Drosophila melanogaster: one gene and its partner. The protein of the gene in region 1 interacts with the protein of each later gene in a pairwise test. Each region holds a gene or a part of one and is shown on either strand. Other genes may lie near its edges.

What was found. The genes of interacting proteins can lie anywhere in the genome.
Region 2: the proteins of opa (region 1) and CG34168 interact in a two-hybrid assay, tested with the Drosophila melanogaster proteins (2 studies listed by BioGRID).

The regions. Positions count from the first base shown.
Region 1 is NT_033777.3:4,851,213-4,855,833, forward strand, and holds the start of opa (odd paired), read left to right. Parts: upstream 1-1,600; 5' UTR 1,601-1,893; coding exon 1,894-2,842; intron 2,843-4,621. UniProt on the Drosophila melanogaster protein: Transcription factor essential for parasegmental subdivision of the embryo. It is involved in the activation of wingless (wg) in odd parasegments.
Region 2 is NT_033779.5:16,134,180-16,137,119, forward strand, and holds CG34168 (uncharacterized protein), read right to left. Parts: upstream 1,094-2,940; 5' UTR 983-1,093; intron 916-982; 5' UTR 910-915; coding exon 727-909; 3' UTR 535-726; downstream 1-534.

The DNA.
Region 1 (4,621 bases):
TCCTCCATCATCGATATGGAGCAATGGCTTCATTTCGAGTGACACTTGTCGCTGGAGCTCTGCGGGACTGGGTGCCTGCCAGCTCGGTGCACTTTCCGCTGCTTTATGGTCTTGCCCGTCTCCCAAAATGGCATTGGGGTCGGTATGACATTCGGACGACTATGGACTGTCGATTGCCGTCCGCTGATTGCTGATTGCCGCTGAGTTGTTTTGACAATTTAATAGCCGAACCGCTTGGCGGTGACGCTTTATGTCACAATTTGCCCCAATTAATTCATTGCGGAAATCAAGGTAATTAGCATGGAATCACATGGTCTTTTCTTGCTCTCATTCTCATTTAAACTTTACCAGGAAATATTGTTTTCTCAAACGATAAATTCAGGGCAATATATTTGATTAGAAAATACTGTTTTTGAATAAAAATTTGATTACTCAATATATATCCAAATTCAATTTGATTTTAATTATTATCGTTTTAAAAGCTTAAGCAATTTTTAATACTCTGCCAGCAATTACATATCAACCTTAAATTATCTACAGATGAGGACTAGTTCAAAACACGAATACTAAACGAAGACAATTTTGATGTTAACGACCTTCCTTTTGCATCGCTCAGTTTTTGGATTGTAAATAGAAAAAATCATATATTTTGAGAAGAGCGTCTGACTATATACATACAGCATAGTGTTATACCATATTATCACAAAGCAAATGTTTTGTATGAAAATAAATTTATACATTTTTGCCCTATGCAGGCGAAGTATCACTTCACAGTCTGCCCCAAAAGCCACTTTGCCGGGGCACTTAACACTCAGCAGAATCCAATCAAGTCGATTGATACAAGATTATGTATTGATTCGACTACTGCTTATTGAAAATTCCATAAATTAGCAAATGAAAAACAGAGCGTTTGGCGCTAATGAAATCTCGTACGTCTTTATGGCGCAACCTAAACAAAACGGCTGGAAATCTCCGATGTCCGAGCACGGAATGTGCTTAATATCATTAAAATCAATAAAATAAACAACTAATTTGATAAGCTGACAGCTGGGCTACCCGAAGTGGCGGGCTATTCGTCCGCCGTGACAATGAGGAGCGGGCTGGAAAATGCATCCCCGCGAGCTTTCAATTGGCTGCCCGTCGGTCCAATCAGCATTTGGGCCCCCTGCACAGGCGCACGCCGCACGCTGTCGGCCCACCACCCAATGGCCAACCGCAGTGGGTGTTAATTTTCGCGAAACCAGTTTGCCGAGCGAGAGGGCGCTATGGTCGGGTGGGTTCCAATTGGACTGAGTGCGCAGCCTCTGTGCTCTTCTGTCCGACTCTGGAGCATGCGAGGAGGCGGCCATTTTCTTAGAGTTGTCGCACTCGCACCCATGGCTCAGGCCTATCCGACAGAGTGGTGGCTTGTGCCGAATACACCATGGCAAGCGCAACTCACCACAGGCAGGTCATACGCCTGGCCTGCTCGCACTCGCGCTTTCGTTACCCTCTATTCATTTTACGTCGTGCATAGGTCGATCCCATTCGCACGCATGCGATCGTCGGCAGATATTTTCACGAGGCAACACAGCAGCGAGTTAGAATTTCAGGAGCATTTCAGTCCTGCTGCGCATCTTGAAACGTCAAGTCTTGGCATTCGGTTAGCGTCAAGTCTTGCTGCGATTCGAACGCCCCAGAAACGCATCGCGCGCGAGTGCATTACGTAAATAAGTATCAAGTCGCATGCGAAATATCTAAGAGCGAAATAAGCGCACAGTATATACAGCTAAGTGAGGTGACCTCAGTGCGTGATGGGCTCATTGGCCTAGCAAAGTGCGAATCGAAAACTTGTAGTTCAGTTCTTTCTGAATTAATTTTAAAAACATATAAGCGAGCAATAACACTGTAACCATGATGATGAACGCCTTCATTGAGCCGGCTCAGCACCACCTGGCCAGCTACGGGCTGCGAATGTCGCCCAACACCACCGCCAGTAACAGCAACGCGCAGCAGCAACAGCAGCAGCAACTGGAGATGACCCAACAGCAGCAGCAACAACAGCAACAACAGCAGCAGCAACAGCAACAGGATCAGGAATCCGCGGCGGCCACTGCTGCAGCCTATCAGAACTCCGGATATGGGCACTTTAACAGCTATGCCTCCCGGGACTTTTTGCTGGGCAGGAGGGAGGCCGAGTACGGTGTGGCAGGATCCGCCGGACAGGCCTCCGCCGCAGCGGATTCCATGCTCTTCTCCGGCTTTCCCGCTCAGGCCGCGGAGCTGGGCTCCGGGTTCGGACAACACCCCTTCCACAGCCACCATCACCACCATCAGATGCGAATGGGCATGGCGGATGCCTACGCCGCCGGCCACCCGTACAACCACCACGGCAACTTCCCGACGGCGGCAGTGCACCACCCGGTCGTGCACCACCCGTCCCACCACGCCATGTCCGCGATGCACCCGGCCGGAGCAGGGGCCTTCCTGCGCTACATGCGCCATCAGCCGGCCTCGTCCGCCTCCAGCGTTAAGCAGGAGATGCAGTGCCTCTGGATAGACCCCGACCAGCCGGGCCTGGTGCCCCCGGGCGGCAGGAAGACCTGCAACAAGGTATTCCACTCGATGCACGAGATCGTCACCCACCTGACCGTGGAGCACGTGGGCGGACCCGAGTGCACCACCCACGCCTGCTTCTGGGTGGGCTGCTCTCGCAACGGACGCCCTTTCAAGGCCAAGTACAAGCTGGTCAACCACATCCGCGTCCACACCGGCGAGAAACCTTTCGCCTGCCCGCACCCGGGTTGCGGCAAGGTCTTCGCCCGGAGCGAGAACCTCAAGATCCACAAGCGGACGCATACAGGTAAGTGTGGCGGTGCATTCCGCTTTATATTTAAACCATATTAAACCATTCATTAAACTAAGAAAATACTTTTATTTAGTTTTGGTTTGGCAGTCAAATTCTGTGTGTAATTATTCCTGTTTTATAAAGATCTTAATACTAATAGAAAGTCGAAGCCTTATGCAGATTTTAACCGCTTATATTTAGAATAGCACATGCTAGGTCTGCAATCTCTTAGAATTCACCTTGCGTGGGCATAACCCTTGCCCGCCTGGGCAAATCCCGGACGTTGTCGATGTGAGCGTGTTACCGACGGCAAAAGTCGTTGCAACGCCCACTACCTGGCTTAACCCGCCACTGGCCGGGCGGGTCATCTTTTATGACACCTGTAAAACCTGCGCCCAAAGCTCTTCCGCGCCCAGAAAATCCCGCAAAGATGTTGTCCTTACGGCTAGGATTACTCTACGGCTTTAGGTTGACTTCGACTTTTGGTCTTAGTATTTCCCTAAGCCTGCGACTTCTCTTGACTTTGGATTTTGACTGGCATGTATTTAACTACGTTTGGAAACTTGGTCAAATTTGTAAAGGAACTGAAAAATTTAGTTTAGCTACTCCTTTGTTTTTTATACTTTAAGCCTTGTTGTCGGCTTCAGATTTTGTATTATTTAATAATAATGGCTTACTATTACTTTGATAGCCAACCGCTCTATGCAAATTCTCAATATAATTAATTTTTCTTAAATCCATCATTAATCATGCCCATTTCAAGCATTTCTCTTTCAATTGTCTTTCAAAAATAAATTAAAATCGCTTTGCAGCTCATAGCCTGAACACTTTTGAAAAAACATAGCCATAGTTGGAGGCTTTAAAATACAATTTATGCGGTATAGTCGTGATCTATGAGAAGTCGAACTATAAAGCCAGAAACGGAGCTTAACGCAAATTAATGACTTTGATTCCAGTGGCTGTTGAACTTGTTCCATTGAAATTTATGGCTGAGCATGTAGGGCTCATTAGAAGCGGCGAAACACAGCCATTAAAATCAATTAACAAGTGGAAGTTGGGAAAGCAAACATGAAATGCGAAAACACAAAACAAAGTTTCGCATAATTGGTGAAAAGAGCGCCAATCAGGTTAATAAACTTTCCAGCAAATATCGCTTGGTCCTGGATTATCCTTGATTGACCTCAGCCTTGGCGTAATTAACTTGGAAATTGGAGGAGAAGAATGAAAATATGGCCAGCAATATTCCGCAATATCCAGCATGCTTATATTTTGTTGTTTTAATGTTGGCTTTTGGCATTTGTTGTTGCCTCTTTATTTCTATTATTTTGTAATTTGGCCTCATGATTCCAAATTGAATTAAAATAAGACGTCGGGCTTCATTATAGCTTCATCTTGTAGTTACCGCGATTATAAACTCACAAAGAAATTCATAAATCACAGAATTAGCCACACAAAAAAGCTATTTCTGTAAATCTGTTCGGACAACAGTATTTTCTTTTGCACACTCATCGAAAGGTAATTAAAATGTTTCGATTTGATTTCGAGACGCCGCCATATTGTGTTCGATTTTGGAACAATCATGTGGCATTATAATGAGTTGGTTGCTGTATGATGATATTTTTGACTAATTTCATATTTCTTTTCTCCGCCGTGATGCAGCAGAAAAGTGCATTTTAGGACCTCTGACTGATTTGTGTGTGCCTATGATTGGTTGACCTGGCTACACATTGTCGGAGATAGCCAACATATTGATTAGCTTTCAAGTGGCCGGCGCACAACTTCATTACGGATCGG
Region 2 (2,940 bases), on another chromosome or scaffold:
CCGTCTGCGTAAGGTTCCATCCAAGATGTCCGGAAAACCTCAAGCTCCTGATCTCAACAGTGACGAGTATTTCCCCAGTCTTAGCAAAGCACTCAAACGCACCAAGTAGCCGTATCACGATGATATACTCTTTAAACTTACCGTTTCTGTTGTTCACTATGTTTAACGATATCAATTTTTCTGGTCGATCTGATGCGGGGTGCCTCGATTAAATAAAATTGAAAGCAATCAGCAAGCCCATCTGTTTTAGTGGTGTTTTACTCGTAAACAAATTTGCACTCAACAGGCCCATTAGCATTACACGTCTTTTTGGCTGGTCCCCGATGTATCGTTAGCCGTAAACGAGCCAAATATTTACAATCAAATGGGGTTTAGCCTTAAATGCACCCGGCGGACTGAAAAGAAAACCAAAAACGGCAAATTACGAGATGGAATTTTGTGATTGTTTCCACAGAATGCATGCCAAATATTTAATTAGGTTTGCTAACTGTTGATAGCAATACATGTGAAGTGAAATTAAAGTGGTCTATTTTTGAATTATACGTATAATTTATTAACATCTATTTCTGATGGCATAATCTTTCATCGAACACAAATCTTTGGATCCACTTTGCCTGACAACTTTTCAGCGTGGCTCCTCATCTTCGACAAGGCCTCACGGCTGCAATCTTTAAAGCTCCTGTTCCAGATCGCGGATAAAGAAACCCTACATTCCTTCTAAGCAGGCTAACAATGTCCACCATACGGCCCGTAGCATGAGCAGCAACCATATGGGCCACAAGGACCGCAACAGTGGTTGACCGAACGGAACCACTGGCCATTGTAGGGTCCGCAGAGCAGGCAGGGTCCCAGTCCGCCAGTCGGTCCACAGCAAGTGCCGGGCATCGAGCACATTCCTGGATTGCACATTTTATTCTGAAAACGAAATGAAACGAATCGAGGATATTTTCAAGAAACAAATTCGTTTGTTGTTCACACTCACATTAGCCTGATTACGGAAGTAGGATTTTCAGTCCTAGAAATTTGGTAGTCGTACAAATAGATGTTTTCTGTTGGAGAACCGAAACTATAATGAGCTAAAGCCACTAGCTTGGTCCACAAAGTTCTACAGATTTAACTTTGATTTCATGGCCTTCTATGTTGTGGTTTCATGGCCTGCTTTTAAAATGCTTTTTTCCAAATTTTAAAATTTGATTAACTATATATACAGTTAGCCTCTTAGCCTCTTATCTAATTCGCTTTAAGAATTTTAATTCATAAAACCGTTCCCGATTGTTTGTGTGTCCCATAAAATTCCACTCCATTGCTCCTCCAAAAATACTTCAGTCCGTCCCGAAGGACTTCCCATTCCCCTAAAACTCTCGATGTCATAATTTAGCCGAAGGCGCAACAAGTCGGAAAAGCCAAGCCGCGACTGATTTTTCCTCTTTGCCCCACCTTTCATTGTTTTACCAAGAGCAGAGTTTTCTTAAGCATTTTGTGTTGGGCAATGCACACAAACCTATTTTTCTTCACAGCCGGGATTCCGTCTTCTTGTTTACGGACAACAGAGCCGGGATTCGCAGTCAAAGTGAAGTAAAGTCACTTGACAAGTTTTGTCACGTGCGTCACATGTTGGAATGTCCCCCAGCCACCCAGGCCACCCACTTTTCCGACTCTACCCATATTTCCACTCTGGCTTCTGAGCATTTGGAAGCAATTTTCCAGGCATGCCTTGCCGCTTCTGTCGTTGTCGTCATTTCATTGTTTCAAAATTGTTGCTCATGTTGTTTCTGTTGTTGACCTGGTTCTCTGTTTTCTTTTCTTTTTTTTTTGCCACGTTTCTTGGTTACCAACCGGTCTGCTTCAACTGAAAAGAGCTCTTGCTGGCGTAAATGTGTTTGTGATTATTTAGTTATGGCATCTAATTGAGTTTGGTGTTTGTTTGGCTGGCGCGGGAGTGTGCAAAGTGTGCTTATGCAATAGCTAATTGAGTCGATTACCCCAACACTTTTCACGTTTTCACCCAAATAAGCTGTAAGGCTGAGTGTAAATTAATCCATCTCGAAGTTCCTAATTTTTATGAGTTTAAGAAAATAAGTAAAAAAAACTCTGAAGGATGAAGAATTCTGTACATTTTACAAGTTTATTTACTTATAAAGCTCATGTACATCGATTTTCCAACATCACTATCTCATCTATTACTTAATCGAATTAAATGAAGGAAAGGCCAAGAAAATTTGATCGGATTAACTTCTTATCTTTTACCAACATTAAATTAAAGCACTTCCGCCCTTCGTAAATAGCCCGTTCGTTTGGTGGCCTTTTGGGTCTGGTTGAGCTTATTTTCTGTTCCGATTCCGGAACCCCGAATACCCCGGGAAAATTCCCGTATCCCCTTCCGTAACCAAACATCATCTCCATCGCGTGTTGGTCTCGTATTACAGCATTGCATATTCGCAGGCGCGTGCGCTCCCATTCGATTTGAACTCCATGGCGACTTTAAGGAAAATGCATCGAAGAGCCGAATATGTTGTGACTGTGAAGCTTAATGTTTCGTGTTGATGTGACTTTTTTCCACTGTTTTTTTCCGGCTTCTTCGCTGGTATTTTTACAGTTTTCAGCAATGCCTTTTTCAGCCCGCTCAGAAGTTCAATGTCCCCCATTTTATGAGCGTCCGTGCAGCGGAAGTTTTGGAGCGATAAGTTTTTGGTTCCGTTCTTATGTTTTTGATTTATTTGTTTGTAACTCACAGCTTAAAAGCGGAAGAAAACTCCATTAAAATGTTTAATCATAACTAATAATGCATAATTGCACAATAAATTTTAAAATATACATACATATGAGGAAAGCTACAAGTGCTCACATAGATTCTACATAGTCAAATAGAAAACTTTATTTAATTTAAAACCATAAAATATTAATTATTCATTTATGTAACTTATAAATAAAAATTAAACT